Oreochromis niloticus: one gene and its partners. The protein of the gene in region 1 interacts with the protein of each later gene in a biochemical or structural test. Links are inferred from orthologs where the notes say so. Each region holds a gene or a part of one and is shown in the gene's direction. Other genes may lie near its edges.

What was found. The genes of interacting proteins can lie anywhere in the genome.
Region 2: the proteins of rad51b (region 1) and rad52 form a complex in vitro, tested with the Homo sapiens proteins (6 studies listed by BioGRID). The link is inferred for Oreochromis niloticus from reciprocal best matches to the Homo sapiens genes RAD51 and RAD52.
Region 3: the proteins of rad51b (region 1) and rad51ap1 form a complex in vitro, tested with the Homo sapiens proteins (6 studies listed by BioGRID and IntAct). The link is inferred for Oreochromis niloticus from reciprocal best matches to the Homo sapiens genes RAD51 and RAD51AP1.

The regions. Positions count from the first base shown.
Region 1 is NC_031980.2:28,823,370-28,831,010, reverse strand, and holds the start of rad51b (DNA repair protein RAD51 homolog 2), read left to right. Parts: upstream 1-4,635; 5' UTR 4,636-4,753; intron 4,754-4,840; exon of another isoform or gene 4,841-5,062; intron 5,063-5,148; 5' UTR 5,149-5,212; coding exon 5,213-5,290; intron 5,291-7,168; coding exon 7,169-7,306; intron 7,307-7,641.
Region 2 is NC_031972.2:56,364,540-56,372,323, reverse strand, and holds the start of rad52 (DNA repair protein RAD52 homolog), read left to right. Parts: upstream 1-4,770; 5' UTR 4,771-5,013; coding exon 5,014-5,061; intron 5,062-7,131; coding exon 7,132-7,233; intron 7,234-7,356; coding exon 7,357-7,450; intron 7,451-7,526; coding exon 7,527-7,594; intron 7,595-7,671; coding exon 7,672-7,784. Other genes in the region: prr5a (proline-rich protein 5a), read right to left, coding at 1,562-1,692. UniProt on the Homo sapiens protein: Involved in double-stranded break repair. Plays a central role in genetic recombination and DNA repair by promoting the annealing of complementary single-stranded DNA and by stimulation of the RAD51 recombinase.
Region 3 is NC_031981.2:14,194,428-14,202,402, reverse strand, and holds the start of rad51ap1 (RAD51-associated protein 1), read left to right. Parts: upstream 1-4,961; 5' UTR 4,962-5,228; coding exon 5,229-5,245; intron 5,246-5,349; coding exon 5,350-5,396; intron 5,397-6,379; coding exon 6,380-6,509; intron 6,510-7,975. UniProt on the Homo sapiens protein: Structure-specific DNA-binding protein involved in DNA repair by promoting RAD51-mediated homologous recombination.

The DNA.
Region 1 (7,641 bases):
TCTAGTAATGCTTTAGATTTATCAGCTTCTTTAGGTGCTGCGGTTTTAAACAAAAAAACCTGAACACTCGCAAAAACTCCCTTTTTAACAGGAAGAAACCAAGAGCAGAACCACTGCTTAGGGAGGGGCATCCATCTCCGTCAGCTGGTGGGGGGGTGAGGGAAGGAGGAGAGCCAGAGATGATTAAAACTAATTATTAAATGCAGAGTTGTGTATCAAAGGTTTCAGATTTGCACAGCAAACTTCTTTTTTTTTTTTACTTCACTTTTGATGGCCTGTCACTGTTAAAGTTGGCATATTACACAGTTTACTCTATTTCTAGAGTCATTTTCAAATTCAAAAGCATTCTAATGTCTTACTTGGTAGAAATGTATGCTGTGACCACAGACCCCTCTGAAACCTGTGCACTCCAGTGAGTGAGTCCCCTTTTCAGTATTGCTCTCAGCAAACAGGGAAGGGCTAAAGCCCCCCCCCCCCCGGTTTTAATTCTGAAATTAAAACCAGAATTCAGGAGGAGGGGGGGAGAAGCAGAAAAATCCTGCTTTGCTTCCACAGGCAGTCATTTTGAAGCATGTGGCCTATAAAATGAAATAATCCTATTACTTCTGGAAATGGAGCTTTCCTCCTGCTTGGGGATCGATTTCTGGCCAAAGCTTTCCCTCCATGATCCTTATCCATGTATTTATGAATCATCTTAATGTCTGAAATGGGCCTTTAAACACAGTTTGATCAATTAATATAACTAGAAAAATTTGCATTTCCTGCAAAAATGCTGTATGGATGCTGTAAAGCTGAAGCTGTCTGCTGAAAAAGCTGAAAATAGCTGAAGAAGTTGAAGTCAGTATTTGGAAAGTTGGAAATACTATATTTAGTGAAAAAAAAACTGTTTTTGGTTGTTTATAAATATATAGTACTACCCTTCAGCCTCCTAGTAGACATACCTGTGTTATAAATGTGAAACTCCTAATTTTCAGAATAGTTGACCTCTGACCTTGAAGTCAAGGTCACTGAGATTTAAGCTTCAGAGACTTTCAGTAGATGCAACCATGGTATTGATTTGAAAATTCTACACTACTTGGGTGTCACAAACTTGGGTGTCCACAGCGCCTCAAAAATGCCAATGCTATTGTCAATTTTTGACAACGCGATTTTGATGTTGTCTAATGTAGTGCAAAAAACGAAACAAACCCAAAACATTAATAAATAAGGTAAATAAGGTATATACTACATACTATTAAACATTTTAGAGGTCCACAATGAGGTCAATGAACAGAATGAAGGAAGTAAGTCATTTTTATATGACAATGGTGTAAAAAAGCGTTTTCCTATTTTTTTTTTTTTTTTTTTTTTTTTTTGTATGTTTGTCACACCTAAACGTCTCAGATCATCAAACAACTATTTTTTTTTTTTATGTAAAAAGAAAAATCCTTTAACTGTCCAGTTTTCTTCATGTTATGATGCTTCTCCCACTGGTTTGTCATTAATAAATCAGATTTTGGCTGCTGCAGCAGAAAAAGACGAAGAGAAAATTTAATCACACAAATCAGAGGTGCAGATTTACACTTTACCTGAAACAGAGCAAAAGTGCTTTTTAAATAGGTTAATGAATATTATGTAATATAGGCTAGATGTCTGGACATTACTAGTTTCATTTGGGCCTTCTGAGCCATTAGTCCTCTGGCTTATTGCCAGTTACCAGCCAAATAGCTTGTGTACTTTATTATCTTAGTGTGTTAAAGATTCTAGTTCTTATTCTGGTCAAACTGTGCTTCATTATTTGTTTACAGCACAGCTACAGTTCCAGGTGACATACTGATATGAATCATAGTATTTTATGGAATTCCAAAAATGGCTGCCAGGACAGCTGCCACCACACTGATGTGACACACTACAAATCAACTCTTTGAATTAGGGTACATGATGCTCTGTGCTGAGTCTGCACAATAACGGGAGTGTTTGTCTGATTTCAAAAACTTTAATAAAAAAGCTGCTCTTTTAGCAGTTTGCTTCTTGTCCAGGTGTATGGAGGATGCCCCACCATACACCTGTCTGTATGCTGCTCTAAGTGCTTGACGATTTGGTGGACTGTCACTAAAACTGTGGTTCAGGGACTGAAACGGTGTCTGGTCAACATATCTGCTCAAATCTAAAGGATTTGATTTAAATCCCTGTTGTAACTGAACATGGTTTGTTTCATGGTATTACTGATGATAAAGACGCTTTGGTTTGGTTTCAGTGCAACTTTCAGTCAATGCTAATGCAGAAAGCATAATTTGCATTTCATACCATATTATGTGATATGCGACTACTGACATGGTTTCAAAGAACCAAAGTAGTTTGGCTGCTGAACCCAAACCCTACTGAAGCAAGATTACAAGATTATCTGTTCTGAAAGAAATCTTTTAGTGTGTGCTAGGCTGCTGCAAGGGCATTTGAAGTTAAAGGCATTACTAGAAAAATTTGCATTTCCTGCGAAAATGCTGTGTGAATGCCTTGTAGTGGAATCGGAAAACAGCTGAAGAACGAGAACAATCTGCTGAAGAAGCTGAAGTTTGTGCTGAAAAGAGTTGAGGAATCTGGAATTTGTGCTGAAAAGAGGTGAAAAAATGAAAATTCTGCTGAGAAGAGGTGAAGAAGTTGAAATTTGTGTTGAAAGGAATTTAAAAAGTTAAAGTGTTCACTGAAAAAAAATGTTGCCATAAGCGGGATTTGAACCTGGGTCTCCTGCTCTGAGAACAGCTGCTCATCTCACTGAGCTAAAACACAGCTCAGCTCAGAGAGCCAAATCAGAAAAGACGCTAGTAATTTGGTCCCAGTCATCAAAATGGGCAAAAAAAAAAAAGGCATAAAAAGCTTACTATTTCAAAAAGTATAGCAGTTATTAGCACCAAAAGATATAGCAGGCATCAACTGAAGGACCTGAAAAATTAGCTGACAAGAGCTGACAAAGTTGAACTTTCTGCAGAAATGAGGTGAATAACCTTAAGTTTGTGCTCGAAACAGGTGAAGAAGCAGAACTTTGTGCTGAAAAGAAGTGAAGACACTTAACCTTCTGGGTCAAATACTATTATTGAGCAAAAATACTACGATTTGGCACAAATACTATGCTTTGGCAGAATTACTGTCTTTGAGCACAAATTCTATGATTTGGCTCAAATACTATGATTTGGCAGAAATGCCATGTTTTAGCACAAATAATGTAATTTTGTTAAAATATTATGAATTGGCAGAAATACTATTAGCACAAATGCTATGATTTGGCAGAAATACTATGCTTTAGGACAGATACTCAGATTTGGCTCAAATACTATGATTTAGCAGTAATACGATAACATAGCAGAAGTACTATGATTTGTCACAAATGCTATTAGTACAAATACTATGATTTAGCACACATGCTATGATTTGGCTGAAATACTATGATTTAGCAGAAATACTACGATTTGGCACAAATACTATAATTTAACATAAACAGTATAACATAGCAGAAATACTGCGATTTAGCCAAAATACTACAGCATTGAGGAAATACTATGATTTAGCAGAAATAATATAATTTGGCAGAAATACTATGTTTCAGCACAAACATTATGATAGCAGAAATGTGTGCTTGTATGTTTCTAGATCAGTCAACTGTATGTCTGCTAAGTCATAGTATTTGTGCCAACTCATAGCATTGCTGCTAAATCATAGTATTTGTGATAAAACATAGTATTTCTGCCATTGACAGAAATACTATGTTTTAGCCTATATACTATAATTTGGCTCAAATACTACGATGAACACCAGTGTCCACTCTTAGTTAATTGCATAGCAACCATAACAACGCATGTATTCTGAAAAATCACAATTTTGCAACTGAAAACTTAAAGAGGCAGTAAATTAAAATGGTAACACACCCAATAATTTCAGAACATTTTAAAGTTTGAATGGGGTTTCTACGTGAAAGTATGAGGAAGTAGTTAAGTTTCAAAAACAAGCAAGTTTTAGCAGAATTGTGGAAGTTTCCCATTCATTTCAATGGGACAAAAAAAAGGAAAAAAGCTTAATATTTTAAAAAGTATAACAGTAATAAATACCAAAAGATATAGCCGGAAAGAGCAGAAATAGCAGAATACTGTAAAATTTGAACGGTGAAAATAGCACAAAACCTGAGGAAGCAACAAGAATAAAGAAAGGATAAAGAATAAAGAGAAACAGTTATCTGAAAGGAACACTCTTCCTGCAGGGCAACAACTTGACTAGAAACAAATTTAATTAGAGGCTCAGAGTACAGCTGGGTGTTAACAGGCTGCTATTAACATTAAAACATGTCATGAATATGAAAACAAATCATGAACATGATCTGTGCCACCTATGACCGTAAAAAAACAGCGTTGACCCCGCAGAACACTGTATTTTACCCCATAGAGTGGCGCCTTGAACGCTCCTTCTGAATGGCGGAAAAAGCAGCATTTTTCCCAGGGGTTCAAGGCGCTACTCTTTGGAGTAAAATACTGCGTTCAGTCGGGGACAAGTTCTGGCTTATTAAACGGTTACGTAATTTCGTAACCAGACGCGTTAAAAAAAATTGCGAATTTTGGCCTAGATTGTTTGCCATACTATTGTAATAACCTACTTCCGGTTCCCGTCTCTCACGAACCTTCTTTCACGCGCCCATTGGCTCCGTTTACGTACAACGTCATTGAATCTGAATCTGCGCGCGGGAGCTTCACACCGAAGAGTTTGAGGAAAACAAGAAAGCTGCAAGAAGGTAAGGACCGAAGTCGCGTAGAAATTACTACTTTTAGCCCAGTAACTGTTAACACTAACAGCAACGGTGACAGCAGAGTGCTCGGGCAGTTCATGCTAGCCCCACGGTGACAGCGCCTGGGCTGCCGGTCACATAAATAATGGCCGAATTTGTCGCTAAAGTGTGTTAACGTGAATTTACTGTGTTAGAAGAAAAACGTTACATTTTTACTGGGCATTAACAGTGTGTAAGTGTAGATGGAGTAGTCTCTTAGATGTTTTAAATGTGAAAACAAATAGACTTAAGTTTGGTTTTAAGGCAGATGAAAAGGTAAAGCAAAAAAACCTGCCGTGTGACGATCATCATGAAAACATCGTTGTATCAATCAGCTTTTGCATGCTAACTCTCTGGCTTAGCTTTCAGTATTAACCGTCAAACAATCAGCGAGCCGAGCGGAGCCGACCTGGGTCTCCTTGGATCATGGCGATGAGGAGCGAGGCCAGAGTGGAGGTGGAGGAGGAGGAAAACTACGGGCCACAGCCTCTATGCAGATTGGAGGTACGTATCCGTCCTTAGTGCACTGTGGTTTCTGTAACACCTGATTTTGTGTGCTGTAGAAGCTCGGAGCTGTGGGTTCGCTGATCCTGCTCCTCTTGGTCAGATCACTGCCAACTGCTGTTGCATTCAGCTGGCAAGAGATGGGATACACGCACTGCAAAGGCCAATGAAACTGATCCACAGGTCGGCGGGTGCGATGGTGCTCATTGTTTGCAATCGTTTTTGTGACCAGTATAGCTTCATTTAGTGTGTGATCAAAAATGACTTCATTCACTAAACTTAAATGCAGATGGACAAGTGTGCTTGCTCTTAGTCTGCCGTCTAAACTCAATTTAATACTTTTCTATTGTGACATTCAGGTATGAGGTGAAATTTGGTCACCTTATTTTTTGTATGACCTTAAGTACAGAGCTATCTAAAACGATCATGGCGTGGATCAGAGGATCTCAAATCCACCTGCACACTCAGACTGCAAGGATTAAAAAAAAATATGAGTATGGTATGTTCAAAGTATTATGTGACAAAGCTCTGACAATGTTCAAAGTGTAAAGGAAGGTGGCTTCATTACATATACTGAAGTAATTGTAAATGACCTGATTCTTCTTCTACAATGAGCAATGAGCTGATTCTTGGAGCACCAGGTGGAAACCACTGATTGATTCATGGAAGGATCCACCCGTCTTTGAACTTGGCCCTTTTTAAAAAAAATCTGACTGCATTTTATATGCCTATAGTGTTGCTAATAGTGCCCTGTAAGCTCTGCAAGTGGTCAGTAAGACCGAAGAAGTACTTTAAACATTAAATGTATTTGAAGCTTGGATGTAGAATGGGCTGATATGTCAGACACCATTAGATAATTGCTGAAAAATCAGTATTGGCATTTATAACGACTGATAAATAAAAATGTAAAAAGTAAAGAAGAGGAGGTAGAAAACCCCTTCAGTGAGTCATGGTTAATGCATAGATTGTCCACTAGAGGGTGCTCTGCAGCTGCACTGTTTAACACAAACACAACACTGCTGATATGGAAGGAGCACAAGTGAGTAATCCACAGCTTTTTGTGACAGTGAAACCCATTGATTTCTAAATAGTTGGTTCTTATTGTGTTTGTAGGGATTCATAAATAACCACATGTAACAATTGTGTGTGTGTGTGTGTGTGTGAGGAAGAAAAATTATCCTGATGCATCAGATTTTTAAATCACCAGATATTGGTATTGGTTTTAATAATCCTATATCAATCAGGCTCTGAACAGAATTGAGTGGTGGCATTAAAAAAAATCCAGTTTGTGTCATTTCATTGACTTCTTAAAAGCACCGCCCCATGACGCAGGTAAAAATGTTTTTAAAAAGGCCCGTTTTTAATGACATTTCTCCTGTTGTTCTCTATGCCTTCGCTGCTTGGTCCCTCACCAGGATCATATATTGTGTTAAATGAAACTGTCAGTGACTTTGCTCCTAAAATTCTGCATTTCTTACTGAGGCCTTTAAAAGCCAAAAGCCCACTCTGCATGATATCTCATAAATGGCTCTACTCTTTTCCTGGGACTTGATGGGTTCATTCCAGACACAGCGTGGTCCAGAGCAGGTCTACAGCATAAATAACTTTAACAGGGTTAAAGCCCCAGTAACAAATTCACAGTATTTTACTGTTTCACTGTTGTTGTTGTTTTATTTTTTAATTAATATGTGGTTTTGTATTTTTTTGCTATCTTTTACCTCAAAAGAACTTTGGTCAACTATGTTGTTTGTTTTTTAAGTGCTCTATCAAAAATTAAACTGGCTTTTAATCATGGAGTGTGCAAGACCCTACAGCTTCTTAAAAAACTCTTTCTGTGAATTTAGCTTTAGCTCTTTGTTTTGATGCCTCTGCACACAGCAATGTGGAATCAGTGCCAGTGACATCAAAAAGCTGGAGGATGCAGGATTCCACACCATTGAAGCAGTGGCCTACGCTCCCAAGAAGGAGCTGCTCAACATCAAGGGCATCAGTGAGGCCAAGGCTGACAAGATCCTGGTAAGGAACGACAGTCGTTTGATTCGGTATCTCAGAGGAATGTGAAAGCTGGCATTGTGTGGAGGAGACTGCATATGGTTGTATCTGATTTACAGATAAAACAGATACATTGTAGAGGCACATTAGTGTGCTTCTGTACTTTCTCCAAGTGCTGCTGGTTTGAACATCAGTGCATGCTGTTAAAGAAGACATGGTTTCCACTCTGTAGTAATATCCATGTCGACCCTAATGGATTTTATAAAATGGGAAATAAGGAATTCTAATATGAAATACATCATAGGAATTGAGTTTTTCATGGTCTTCAGCCAGAGCGCGCACAGCTGTGTGGGAGGCTG
Region 2 (7,784 bases), on another chromosome or scaffold:
TTGCTGTGGGGTCAGATGAGAAGATTGATATCATATTTTTAAACACTGAAGCTAAATATGCAGCTACAGAGAGGATTTGATTAGCTTACTGCAGAGATATGAACATATAAAGATATGAAGATATGAAGGGGGGGGGGGGGGGGGGGGGGGGTGATTGCATCTTATCAAAAAACAAGGAATGCATGCACAAGTTTGAATTTATTTTGGATTTTTTTCTAATCAGGGTCAGAAATCTACATATATTCCCTTAAATTTTTAATAAGTGGTGCTAAAGTTTCTACAGTGTTTTTTAACTTTAAAAAAGCCAAGGCCTGTTAACTTCCTGTTAGTTGTTATAATTAATCACAACATGTTTGGAGGAGTAAAGCTTAAGTTTTTAAACCTAAACACAGAAATAGCTGTCAAGCATGGTGGTGATAGCATCATGCTCCGGGGTTGGTTTGCTGCCAGTGGTACTGGCAGTGGTAGTGGTAATCAACCAGTTTAAATGAACTATACAAATTCTGCTAATAAGAGTGATCTAATATCCAGCCATTGTTATGCCAGAAGGTTGTTGACCGCTACCAAAAGCATCTGGTCAAGGTGCAACTTGTTAAGAGACATTTAATCAAATATTAGTGGGGGAGTATACATGTATTTGAGTGTGTATGTATACTTTTTGCCTTAGAGAAAATCCAAAAGTCCTTAAAGATGTATGCTGTACAATCATTCCAACCTAGAAAAGTTCAAAGAAATTAAAATTCTAAAATTACTGTGACATTCATGTCCATGATGAGTGTTTGTAAACTTCTCACCACAACTGAAGGTTTTAGCGTCTCTAAGTTAGAAATCATCTGTTACCACCCTCCAAAAAAACAAATCCACAAACCTCAGTGTGAGCAGTTTCATGTAGGAACTACACCTGCCAGCAAAGGAAGCACGTGTGCTGCACATTAAGATTACAGCTCAGTGAAGGGAAACACTGATGTTTCCATCTTGTAATGCTGTCACAAGTACCAGCTCTGGGTGAACTGCCCCTTTAAGAGGCACAATTCCGGAAAATCCTAATGTAATTCGAGTATACCTAAAATTTAAGTGCATGTTTTAACACATTCATCAATCTAAAATATCCTAAAAGTGTAAAAAGAGAGAGAGAGAGAGAGAGAGAGAGAGAGAGAGAGAGAGAGAGAGAGAAAACACTGTTTGCATATTTTTAGGAAGACCTGGTAAAAAAGAAGAAATGATGAGTTCAAACCCACACAGTCCTGAAACTCTCTGCTGACAACAGAGCAGTAAACAACAGAGCCCCCCACTTTCACACCCACACACATGAACACAGAAAACATGGAAAGCAGAGCGCACAAACGAATGAGGTGTCCATACATGAGGAAATGAGTCAATCAAACAACCCACCAGGACATCATTACCATTAGACCAGCATGTGTTTCAGCTGGTTAATGAAATCTTCTGGGACAGACATGGTGTGATTTCTTTTTTCTTTTTGTAAATGCTTATAAATATTTCATGCATTTTCCAGGAGGCTGCACGCTGTGAAATGCTAAGCCCAGGAACTGAGACTCACCTCCTGATTGGATGCTCATTGCTGCTGTCCAAATCCGGGCTCGGAGGAGGGGGCGAGAAGGTGCTGAAGTTGAGCGACAGGGGTCGAGGGGAGGGCCGGGAGGCGTGCCTCCGCCGCAGTCCATCAAGCATCTGAAGTTTGCGTAAAAGTGGAAATGTCAACAAAGGCTAGCAGGAGGGATTAAAATTGGATCAAGGAGCTGTGTGAGGCATCGATGAAAAATGTCTCAAGTGCAGTCATGAGCCTCCTCCGCCCTTTACTTTGAGAGAGCGAATCAAGCAGGGAACATTAAAGCGGTATAAGAGACACAACACAGTAAAGCGAAATTCACGGTCAAAGGGGCACAGGATAAAAATCAAACCCCACATCTGAGACTTCCTCACAATGAGTGCTTTCTCTTTCTTTATTCTCTACCTGACTGTCAGTTCAAAACCAGAGAGGAGTGTTTTGCAATCAAAGCTGGGCTGACCTGCAGGGTTTACACACGCATTGCATCAGAGGAAAGAGAAAAGAGAAGTGCATGTGTGTACACGCATCAGTCTGCGCCAGTTATTCCTGTAAAAGCGTTACAGTTGCTCTCAGTTTGGGTGTCTCCCCATAGAAACGTACTGTACAAAGTAAAGCACCATCCCCTGGTCAGAGGGGAGAACAGCAGTCTGGGTTGTCACTCTACAGACAAAAGAGCCAACACTAGCCTCAACATGTAAAGCACAAAGAGAGGGGGGTGCCTCGTGTGTTTTCAGAAGAACCGGGCCTGCAGTTTAATTAGAGTAAGATCACATCTGAGTCAGCAGCGCTGGCTGCTCACTGTCTACCCGGAATGCCATGCCACGCCAGTCTGGGCATTTCTGCTTTTGTTCACCCCTCCTCCTCCTTGGCTTGTCTTTTAGGGGCGATTACAATCAGATCGATGCCTCTTAAAAAATAAATAAAAATTATCCGTAAGAACGTGCATTTCTTTTCTGCTCTATGGATCTCTCCCCGTGATTCCGAGCTGAGCCATTCGACATCATACGGCCATTCAATCGGCCAGACACGCAATCAACAGTCCACGTTTATCCTACTGGGAGGAATGCACCGCCAGTCGTGCGTACGTGGATGTTTTATGTTTTTAAAAACCTGTGCGCAGAACACAATGAAGCAAAGTGCCCCGGTAAACAAAGCCACCGTGTAACAAGCACACGCAGATGCTGCGTTTGGTCCACCTTTGGATAAAAACTGTATCATAATGGCCACAAAGTTGCCGTATGTCATGCGCCTCTGCCCGCCCACTGTAGCCCGCACTCACCGTTCCTGATCTTGTCGTATAGCTCCTGCTGAGATGAAACGGTCATGTAGTGCTGAGGGGAACTGTTTACTGTCCGGGTTCATCAGCGGCTGCCTCCTGTTCTGTTAGCCGCCTGTCTGCGCACCCTCACGGGCATCGGGGTGCGGGCGGGCGGGCGGTGGAAAGGTCCGACCTGCGGGGACTCATTCAGTAAGAAGCCAGAAGCAAGAACTGCCGCTTGCTCGCTCCGGCTCGCCCCCGCTTTGTTTTGACGAGATGCAAACGCGAAACCTGGACGCGTGGACGCGGCCACGAGCAGCACGTGGACGCGCGTCCGTGGTTATAGCTGTATGTAAGCGAGAGGGGATAACTCCAATGGGAAATAAGAATAATGGCAGAGTTTAATTCCGGAGGGCTAATTTTATTATTATTAAGACGCAGACTTTAAGAATTAACACACAAACCGGGGGAGACACTAATACGCAAACAGTGTGCTAACACTGCAGTGCACAGGTGTGCAGTCAGTGGTGAGAAAGGCCTCGCTTTGCAATATGGCCATAAACAGAAGATAGTAAACACACAGTTTCCAGCTCTGACCCAAATCCACACAGTTTCACACAAGGGTAGCCTTACCATCTGTGAGTGCAGATGCGTGTGTTCTCCGGATAATCCCCCTTTTCCGTGGATGAGATGTTTAAAAATAAGGGTGGGGGTGTGGGGGCAGTCTTGTGAGAAACTGTAAGGAATAAATTTAGTTTTCTGTCTGCTTTGCAAAAATCCTGGCACTCCTATACATGTGACAGAAAAATGGCTCTTGTTGGATCAAAGAGGTGCGTTATAACACGGTGCGTTTAGCTCAGATTGTTAATAAAAGGGAGATTGTATTCTCCCATACAATCCCACGAGATTTAGTGCAAACACAGACCAGCCTGATCAGCCTGCTATTCCAGCTAAAACAGGGAAAACAGGTAGAGATCCTTCTTGCATGCAAATATTTATCTTGCAGATATTTAATTCACTGCACAAGGAAGACTAAACAACAAACGCAAAAACTTTAGCTTCTGTTAAAAATTTAATTGCATTAATCAAATCTTTCATAGCTTCTTACATTCTTTTGCAGATCTCCTCTGAGGTCACTTTAGTGTCTGTGGATCAGAGTTTGCTGAAATAGAAGTTTGGAGAACGGAAAATGTTCCCTGTGCAGAATCCAAACCTGTTTAACCGCTTGCATGCGGTTTGCATGCTGTTATATGCAGGTTTTATTTTGTTTTAAAGCTGTTTTGCCTACAGTGCTATTGTAGCCATTTGATTATTTATTTTAAAGCTTGGAATCATTATAGATAAACAGTTCACAAAGCACACAAACCAGACAAGGGCCAGCGTAAAAGATAATATCAAAAGCAGTGAAAAGTCTCCCCTCTAATAACCACGTGTTGTGGCTGGGTAATCCTCTATTTATTATTCAAAATTAAACACTGATTTATTATGGAATAAAGAATATAATGATTGCAAAGATTAATTAAGGAACTCAAAAGCAGTGTCTGAAGAGACCTCGACCTGAGGATGTGATGTCAAAGAATGTGCCTCTAGCCACATCCTACAGGTAGCATCACCTGTCTTTGTGTCCTCTGCACAGCAGTTTCAGTCATTAGATGGGGCATACACAAACAAAAGTAATATTAGATACTATTACACCTTACAATGAAATATGCATTTAAGGCGACCTCGTCATTTTCTATATCGGGCCCTGTGAGAGGAAATACAACTTTCATGGCGCATCGTTTATGTTTCAGGTGGATGCATATTTTTTAAGCTATCATAAATAAAATAAAAATTAAATAGCTGATTCTGCCTTTAAAATATATAAGTTAATAATTAAAATTTGCGTGTAAACCCAGTAACCCCTAGATTTCAATTAGTAGTTTATTTTCCAATAGCCGTGAAGGCACCATAAGCTCCTCCTCCGGTAGTCCGAGCGGGAAGTTCAGAAAGATGGCTGCCTCTTTGAAATAATATTCATATTTTCTGCTGCTCATTCAACACAGAAGGCACTTTAGAGGAACTGTAACCGGCTAGTTTGTATCCACTGACTTCTATCGGGTCTCAGGCTCTTCTCGTGTAGTTTTATCGATAAGTGAAGCCATCTTAGCCTCTTTTTCAGTGACTGAGGAACATCTCGGCAGTCATGTCCAGTGAGGAGACGAGCAGCTCTGCGTCCAGGTGCTTCGGACAGGTATGTGGGCTAAATGAGACTTCTTTAACGGTTTACTGAGGGAAAAAAGCTAATTATTCTAAATGGGACACAGGTGTGTTGAGTTAAATTAGTATGATAAAGCACATCTGTTTTTGTTTCCAGTCCCACTGCTGATAAAGTTTTGATTGAAACGGGTTGGAGCACAATGTGTGTCAGTCTGAATGTCTGTGAATGGACACTAGAGGGGACCGAGTTTATTTATGTAGTAGAGTATCATAGTTTTGTATTTTCTACAAAGTTTGTAATTTCTTTTGAAAGTTTAGTTTTTATTGTTCTTCCGGTCCTATATACCCTTAACCCCCCGCTATGGTCTTTCCTCTTTTGTCTGGCAACTCCATCTTCAGCATCCTTGGTCCAATATATCCACCATCCGTCCTCTACACACGTCAAACCGTTTCTAACCTGAGATGTCGCTCTGATGTACTCATTTCTAATCCTGTCTATTCTTGGTCACGCCCAATGAAAATCTGAGCATCTTCACCTCTGTCACCCCCAGTCACACCTCCTGTCTTTTTGTCAGTTCACCTTCTCCAAACTAAATATCGTAGCAGTTCTCACGACCATCTTCTAAACCTTACCTTTCATTCTTGCTGCTATTCTTCTGTTAAAAATCACTCCTGCCACTCCTCTCCATGGGCGCACTTTGATATAAAGAGGTCTGGAGGAGTGAAACACTCCTCTCTATTATTGTAAAGGACTTTAACTACACATTTAATTACTGGGCGATCTTAATATAGGAAGAAGAAATGCAATTTCAACAGTGTGTCTCAGTTTTTCTGCATCATAAAGAAGATGCTTTCAGCCCGACTCTAAAATTGTAAGAAATAAATGTGCAAAATTACATAAAATGGTCCGGTAGCTCACTGCCTAGACTCTCCTGTAGTGATAAAACAGAAACCCCCAAAAGTTGATTCTGTTCATCTGGACGTAGCGTTTTCATTGGGAGAAATGTTTCGTCACTCATCCAAGTGACTTCTTCAGTCTACGTCCAGATGAACAGAATCAACTTTTGGGGATTTACTTACCTGGATGATTGAGCATGCATCATGACGATAAAACAAAGTTTTGTTAATTCACAGAAAATGCCTGGTTTCTCTAGTAGATAGAAAACTATTTTTTTACTATCATTTAAATGCTTTTCTATTACTTAATTACTCCGATGTGGTATGAATGGCCGTAGGGGAGATTTTAATCAGTGGGAAAAAATTTTCAAACTAATGAAAATACCGTAATAATTCCAAAATTTATGCCCTGAAAAGGAGTGTTTCCCCGGCCTGTTCTGGCCCCCGGGCCTAGTTTTTGACTCCCCTGCCTTATAAATTGAGGAAGTGCAATTTTTAAAATATTTACAACAGTGATTGAAATTAAAGAATACATTTAAAGATGAAAACAAAGGAAAAAGGAGCAGGAAGTTATAATACAGAAGTGTGTGAGGAATCTTAATAAGTCTGAGGGAGGAGAAGCTCTCCTGTGTCTGTGCAGTGGAGTGGAGCGTGTTCGATGGGTTGCCGATGATGGAGAGGTTTGTTCAGAGACCTCCGGTCTCTCACTGACTCACATGCCTCCAGATTCTGGGCAATGATTGATCGAGTCTTATGGATTAGTTTGTTGATCTTGCTGGCATGTCTGTTTTTGCAGAAGTCTTTCTATTTTATTATATTTTCTTTAATGTAAATAAAGTCATTTTAACTTCCACCTTTAGTTCAGTTTTATTTTAATATTAATAACCTTAGATTTCACCTGTAACCTGCACATCCATATTAAGTTTGATAGGATTTGCTGACCTTCCTGGAAGCCCAAAGGCTGCCGAGAACAGCTTGTACTCTGGGTGGCTTTTTAATGTCTGAAATGAAGTAGAAGTAGACAAAGCATCAGTAGTGAATCGCTCTTTATGTTATTAGTGTAAACCTAGCTTCCTGCACCTCCAGAGGATAATAACTGCCAGCCAGTTTCACTCAGATCATACAAATATGACAACAATGTAAGCTTGTTTTCATTATTAATGGTATTTCCGCTGTGTGCCTTGCTGACACTGGGGTGTGATGACAGCTTACCTACACAGCTGAGGAGTACCAGGCGGTGCAAGATGCTCTGCGACAGAAGCTGGGACCAGAGTACATCAGCACCAGAATGGCCGGAGGAGGACAGAAGGCAAGTCTTTATTTTCCTCTGCAGCTACAAAAGCTGCCTGCACCTCAGACTGTGGATGTTTCTTCATAATAACATGTCATAATTTCATTTTTCAACTTCAAATAGCTACTCTGATTTCAACAGGTATGCTACATTGAAGGCCATCGTGTCATCAGCTTGGCCAATGAGATGTTTGGATACAATGGATGGTCTCACTCCATTTCCCAGCAGAATGTTGGTATGACTCGTTTCACAGCTTAGGATCCAGGTTTACCTTCTCGTGCTCAGACTAACACAAGAGTCTTTATTGGCAGATTTCGTAGACCTCATCAACGGGAAGTTTTACGTCGGTGTCAGCGCATTTGTTAAAGTGCAGCTCAAGGTTGGGTAAATGAGCCTCTTTTATTTTTCTGCCCCCCTCTCTTCCATCCATATGAGCTCATGTTGCTTTTCCTCCAGGATGGATCGTTTCATGAGGATGTTGGCTATGGAGTCAGCGAAGGACTAAAGTCGAAAGCTCTGTCACTGGAAAAGGCGAGGAAGGAAGCAGTCACTGATGGCATGAAGAGAGC
Region 3 (7,975 bases), on another chromosome or scaffold:
GACCTATGAATGTTCTCTCAGACAGAGCATTTTGTCCCCACGAGTAGCTAAAAATATGCCCGGCTTGCAGCATAATAACACAGCTTGGAGGGACAAATAACCTCTTATGGAGTACTTCTGTTACATTAACAGCAGTACTCAATCATATTCGTGCACAACACTATATTTTTTCAATGTTCCTAAAATATCTTAATAGTGCAGAAGCAGTCTAGTTTCTCTTTGCCCTGTGAGGAATGTAAATAACAACACTGTAGTCTCCGCCTGCGGAACAACCATACAGGGGGATGGGTGCAGGACTCAGAGAGCCCCACACAAACTACCACTCTGAGATGCTATAGAGCGCATAATGATGGCATTCACATCAGTGGTTGAGGGGGGGGGAAACTGCCTCCTGACCACTTCCAACTAACAAGCTGAAATTAAGACCACTGATGACCTCACAGATGCCAACTAGGCTAGTAAACCCAACTGGATGCCTTGTTCCAAAATAGCCTAGTAATGCTGCCTAGTGTTGCCAGAGAAAGAAAAAAACAATCATTATGTATTTGTTAAATATGTTACATAATCCACAAATTAAATCTAACAAGGATTAATTTGCATAAGGAAATTAGAGAAACAGTTACTCCAAATTTCCCTTGTCCCTCTGGACCTCTTTACTCATGTCTTTCATGCATAGAGCCAACGGCTGTAAAACAGTTACTCAGTTTGGGCTTTGTTACAGGGTTTGTTATGAACTAGAGCGACTATAACTGCAGTCTAAAATGCAAAATAATTATCTTTATGTTTTACATTTTTGACATTTTAACCTTGAGATTAATTCACAGACTGTACACCACTAAAACATGCAGAAATGTGCAGTATTACCTTTTTTAAAGACAAATTATCATCACACAGCTTAACAATATAAACCCATGTAACTGCCACTAAACTCACTAACAGGATATTTCTACTTTTACTTTAGTTTATGTAACAGTCTTTCCCTCTTTAGTGGTCATGTGACTTTGTTTGGGAACATATAGGATTGGAGACATGGTAATTTTAACTGTAGCAGCATATATTCTAAACATTTCCTACAGTTATAAACGGATGTATATGTGGAGAAGTGCCAGAGAAACGCGACTGTCGTTTCAGGATTAACTTCGGCATTTTAAGAGAATGCAGGGGTGTGCTCAACCTGTCATTTGTAGCGCTGGAATAAATACAATATAAGCATGTATATATGTGTGAATGGAAGCGTTATGTTGTGACCGCAGTGTTTGCATGACTGGATCTGATATTTTAGTCGTGGCTGTAGGCAGTGCTGGAGGAGTTTAGGAATGCGTGACCACAGGGCCTTTTGGCCCCGTGGATGCATGTTCTCCTCCCTTGTCTGGGTCCAAAGGAGTGGACCATCACATCCCTGGTTGTTCCTCAAGGTCCACTGTGTGACAAACCGCAGCCGACAGCCACCCACTCACAAACTAGAAAATGACAACCCTCGGGGCAGCTGCTCTTCTCTTGAAAGTGCAGTAAAAATGGAGTGATTTTACTTTCACTGCACTTTAGAGGGAGCCGTGATTGCTTCCGCCCTGAGTGTGGGCGACTGAGTAGCTGAGGACGTGTCAGGTTCATGTCAATCAGCCAGTCAGAGTCTGTACCTCTGTGAACCAGAAGGCATTATGCTGCCACCTGCTGGTAACTTGTCTGACACGACTGATACTGTCACTGCCTGCAAATAAAGAAGCAGAAATGCCTCCTCAAAGTTAACTTTCATACAAGATGATGGCTAAGATGCAGTCCAGAAACCACAAGTTTCCAGAGAGATGTTTATGATCTGAAATATATTTAGCACAGTTGACAGTTTAAAAACACTTTTTTTAGACCATTTTAAAGATATTACCCACATATATTTTTAAGTAAGTGATGTTTGTTTCTTCATTCTAGTCCCCCGCACACACCTACATCTGCACTTGTGCAAACTTAGGTTTGGCAGCCTGGTACTGTAGGTGTGGAATGAATAACTACTTTAGACTAATTTGGCATATTAAGGGAAGTAAGACATGAGGTGGCAGGTAGCATATGTTACATCCCAAAGTCTCAAAAGCTAAAGTTTCAGATCCTAAAACTTTTGCTTAACTAAGAGCTGATCTTCTGCATTAACCCCGGACTAGACTGAAGCAGTTTCTTGTCTAAATGATTTGTAAAAAAAAAAAAAAAGACGTTTGTCAGCTCTCTGTCAGTGAATTCTCCAAATTGTTGCAAGTGCACTGAAAAAGAAAAAGGTTAACCTAAGACTTCTTTTTCTGGGTGAAAATATGGCTTTTGTTTGCCTGTTTGTCTACTGGATTATAAAATTCACACAAACTGATGGAAAAGTCCAGGTCACTATATTTACTGTAAACCTGGGTCATTTAGTCTTGGGCTTAGAGGACAACTACAATCTTTGATTAGTTCCCGCATATTGAATTTTGGCTTTTTCTTTTAAACCAGATATTATTTCTGAAACAATCCCCAAAGGATTTGTGTCTCCTCCTGCAATCTTTCACTTGTCAGGCAAATATGTAAACAACTACACAATAGAACCACAACTGCAGTCTCTGAGTTCCTTTCTATTAATCATTCCCAAAGATATGATTAGATTCTTTATTTACTCTGTGTAGAAAGTAATTTGTTATATTACTCACTGTAGTTTGAGTTACTCCCCAGCATCAGCTGTCATGTACATGCAAGAGCAAAGATCCACCTTGTAAAAAGAAGGAAATACACAAAATCCTTCTTTTATCATTTAAGAATTATGACAAACAGCAACAGCCAATGAAGAAATTGGCAAAAACCAGCATAAAGAGCCCCTCACACAATAATGTGGTGATAGTGATTCTACTCTGTTAGCTTCTATGTACTACTGTGGGCTTGTTTTTCTTTAAAGAAAACAGTAACACCGGGTCCTGGTGTCTTTCACGACTAATTTTTGTGTATACATTTGAGCATGTTAGCAGTGACTAGTTGTTTTTGCACTTGTCTTATTTTTTTTCTTTTTTTAAAAGCTTGTCTTGACCTGAATGCGATGTTGTTCTAAACACGTTCACTTTCCTAAGATGAATTCTATAATTTCTCTATAGCTCCTTTTGTTTATTTCTTTTATCTGTTTATTTGTTTCTTATTATTATTATTTCTGGTATCACAGAACATATATACAGTAATATGACAATGCCAAAGCTGACAGGCAGGAGAAAAAAGGCAAAGAAAAAAAGAAAGGGGGAGAAAATATGATAAAACTGTCACGGCGAGTGAGATGAGCCGTGTGGAAATAATAAAGGAGGATCCAAACGCAGGCACTTGTAAAGGTGTGAAGGTGGTTTATTGAACACAAAATAAAGATAGACAAACGGCAAACGGAGAATGAACTAAACTACACTGGGAACAACTAACTACTGAACACGAACCTGAACATGAAGGAAGATAGACGATGGTATATGATGGTGACAGCAGGGAGAACACACAAATAGAACATGGTAGATACACAGACGGACCAGCGGCTACTACAACCGAAGACACGACTTAAATACACTCAGAGAAACACAGGGAGATTACACACAGGTGGGGGACACAGCTGGGAGTAATTAACGAGAGGAGACAAGGGAGGTAAACTGAACACACTCACATGAGACGCAGACCTTCACAATAAAACAGGGAACAAGAAAACACTACACAAGGACGCAGGCTCGACACTGAGAGGCAGACAGAATATAGCACATGGAACCTGAACTATACTAAACGTGAGACACAACCAAAGAACAAATCCTTAAACATGAATAAACAGAAACATAGAATTCAAATAATAACCAACAAATCACAAAGGTAGCAAAACGATCATTCAAGAATAAACCAAAACATAATAAACTCAGAATGCTGGGTCGAACCGCCCCAGAACCGTGACAAAAAGGGTAGAGCTCAAACAGAGAAATGCAATGGATCACTTCTGCCACACCTGTAAGAAAAAACATACAAAAAACAAAGATTATCTAGAAGAGCAAAATATGAAAAAAAGACAAGTCTTTGGTCATTTAAAGTAAAAAATGTAAATTAATATATCCATAATTCCACTCCTCAAAAGGTGTAAAAATCAGCGACAACAGGTCTGACTGAGTGATGAATACAATTTGAAATTTTTGGCTCAAATTTTTGGAGCTGTTGTCAGGAGGTTAAGAGAGTGTCCAACAGTGAGCATCTACAACCATCCATAAAACACAGTGGAGGCTGTAATGGTTTTAGGGCTGCATTTCAACCTGTTGGGGATCTTGTCAAAATTGATGTACTTATAACTGCAGAAAAGTACCGTCAGATTTTGCAATATCATCTGAAATGCATCTGATTGGCAACAGCTTAATGTTGCAGTATGGCAATAATCCCGATCTTACCTAGATAGAAAGGTCCTGGCTTTTCATATCCCAGAGCTCGGACTGAAACATTACTGAAACAGAGTGGGACCAACGAAAGACAGCCAACATCCAAAGAAGAGGTCTGAATGTCCTTCACAAAGCCTGGAGAACTATTCCCGAAGAATAAACAAGAAAGGTTGTCCAAGAAAGTTCAGGCTATGTTGAATAAAGGTGCTCATACCAAATATTGACTTTCAAACTCTGTTTTTGCCTTATATACGGCATTTACACACGTTTTAATAAACTGCTGTATCCATTCACATTTTCATATCAAACTATAGATAAAAAATGGGGCGGCACAAGATTTTTGCACAGTACCAAGCCATTTATTATTGTTAGCCGGGCGAAATTAGCAAAGCTGCGCCAAGCTATTTGAGAGAAGCAGATTCGACACCTTAAAAAACGAATTAAAAAGAAAAACAGAAAATTATCTATTGCTCTCTGATTATTTCTGATTTTAAAGATTAAAACGGGCTGCCACAAACGGACTCTTCTTCTGTATTCTTTTGCTTTGTTTAGAAATAAACGAATCTGCTTGCAGTTTCCGTCAGATTGGTAAACAACTGACGTCACTTCTGGTCTGTTCAGGCGGGCTGTTTGAGAGCTTGGGGGACCGACGTACCTCACGTTAAGCTTGTGTAACTAAAGTTATATAGTTTACGGATCTCATTCACGATAAGTGACACCTTAACTTTTTTGTAATCGTGTGGAGATCGAAAGTCAAAGTTTGGTCGACTTCACTCAGCTGGAGGGAGTAGTGCTGATTAGCCGTGTCAATGCGGTTATTGTTAGCTGACTAAAAAGCGAGCTATGGACCGACCATCTAGGTGAGCTACTGCTTTTGTCTATGCCTGGTAAACTAGATCTGTGGTGATGCTAAAAAAATGTTTTTTAATTTATTTTTTTGTTTTTTTTAATTGTTGACACACAGGAAGACAAAGACTGTGAATTACTGTGAGAGCAAGGACTTCGATGATGGTGAGTTAAATTAAAAATCTGTTATCCTGGCCCATTTGATCCACAGTGTGATGAAGAAATAGCATAGCATAGCATGTCATGTCATGTCATCATTTTATAGTCTTACAGAGGCGATGCGTGGATGTAGTGAAGGCTGACATGCATAGGGTTGGTGTGACAGAGGAGGATGCTGGGAATAGTGTGAGATGGGGCAGATCTGCTGTGGAGACGCCTAAAGGGAGCAACTGAAAGTAGAACTGCATACAAATTTAAATAAATAAATTAAAAACTTTATGCAAGTTCTACTGACTTGCTTTATGATAAAGGCTAAATGTGTGAGTGTGAGTGTGTGTGTGTGTGTGTATATATATATATATATATATATATATATATATATATATATATATATATATATATATATATAAGGGAAGGAAGGAAGGAAGGTAAAATACACAAAGAAATGTATGTATGTATGTATGTATGTATGTTGTGGGCAACAGAGTGAAAAGGTGGTGGGCCCCACCTTAAGTGAAGTATTTAAATGTTATAATAACAGGTTGATCTTAAGTATTCAGAATGAGGTTTTTCCACACGGAAGACCATCTTTCTTTCTGTTTTTTGTTTTTTTTGTTTTATTTTGAAAAGGTGAGACATCCACACGCTGTGCCAGTGGGTGTATTGATGAGCACAGAAATATTAACATCTTTATGACGGATCTGTTGGAAATTTTACAGTGATCTTTACATTTTATTTACTTTAGATGTCTTGTGTTAACTTGATAAATCGCACTCACTGCAGTGGTGTCACTTCGTGCAAAACAAAGTGGTGTGATCAGGAAAAGGACATTGCAACAAAAAACGTGCTATTAGATACTGTTGCTTTGCAGAAGACTCTTAAATTCCAGGAAAACCTGTAGTACAATAGGGTGCACATGTGTAATCCAAAGGACTCACTTTCCAGTCTTAACAGTGGTATCTTTGTCATTTGTCCTCATTTTGTGACAGATGAGGATTTTGCCTGTGTGAAGGCCCCACCCAGCAAAAAGGTCAGGGAGGATGTGAAAGAAGAACAGAAGAAATCATTAAGCAAGTCCTCCAGTCAAGAGGCCACCTCACAATCGAGCCAGAAGAACAGGTAGGTGGCGAGTTAATCTGACACTGGCTGTGACAATCAGGCTAGAGGGCTCATGAAACCTGTTGTGAATAAATGTTACCAGTTTTACTGTTGTTTAGTTTGTTTCCAGCAGAGGGCGCACCACTTGTGTATGTCCTGCAATGTGGGGAAGTTATGTTTCAGTCCGTTAGCTATCCATAGGCAGCTACAGGTTACCTATCTACCTGCAGGGGGCAGTGGTGCCACCACTCTGTGGGTTACTCTTGCTTGTGCTGCCCTAGGTTCATCCGCCATCCGCTAAGAATGTAGTTCTAAAGCACAAAAGAGCTGAAGTGAAGCCGAGCATTAAAAATAATCAAGTGTCCACTGCAGCCACTGTCTTTACTTTTCATCTTGTACCTTTGCTTTTCTTTTTTTGTGTTCCTTTGTCGCTCCTTTCCCTGTTTTGGCACACTTCTCAACTCGTCAGCATTTGGTTGATGCACAGTGTCATCCACCTTGAGCAGCATGAAGTGGTCATGTATAGGAGTTCATTTGCATTGGTTACTGTCAGTAGGCAAATATCTTAACAAATAGACACACGCACAGTACTGTAAATGTGTGCAGTGCAGTGTTTCCTTTTAGTTGATCCTCTGAAGTTACAGCTGCTGACACTAGTATAGTTTTTGCTCACTACCAATGAACTATAAGATGCATCCAAGATCCAAAATGGGCCCAACATTTAAGAATAACGTAGTATTTAGGTCAGATTCTTGTGGCTCACCTGCACTACCTTCAAGGCCCACCAGGGGGCTGCAGGCCACACTTTGGGAAACACTGGTCTTGTGGTTTGAAATTCAATTCAATTCAGTTTTATTTATATAGCGCCAAATCACAACAACAGTCACCTCAAGGCGATTTGAGGTGACTGTCCACATTCACTAATGAATTTGAACATTTTCTTATTTTAATCTCAGTCATTGTGGCCCTAGTGATGACAATATTGCACCACATGATGATTAAAAGGATTAAACTCACAGATTTTTGGTCTTTTGTTGTAGGTGTAGATATGATATGTAAAGAAATACCAGTCCAAAAGTAATACTTGGGTCTAGCACCAGTGCATTAATAGATTTTCAAAATGGGTTCATATTTTGTTGAGATGAGTAGCTAAGCTTAGGAGATAAGCAGTGGAAATTATAACTTTGATTTCATCACTGTTAGTGTAGACCGAGAGCTGCACTGGGTGTGCAGTCAGCTTGAAGGTAAGCAGTCACTTTTAAAGAATATACTGCAGACTGCGGATAAATGTTTGGGTTAAAGCCTCGCTGTGATGCTTTAACTCATTAAGGTGGTTGAATAGTAAAGCCATTCAAAGTCATTGATAAAATGATGACTGGCTAATCAGTGGGGATAATCGCTAAATCAAAACAAAATGTTGATTATGCTGAGTTAAATTTTAAAAAATGTCACCGAAAAGTAGTCTTTTCTTTTACATTTTTATCAGT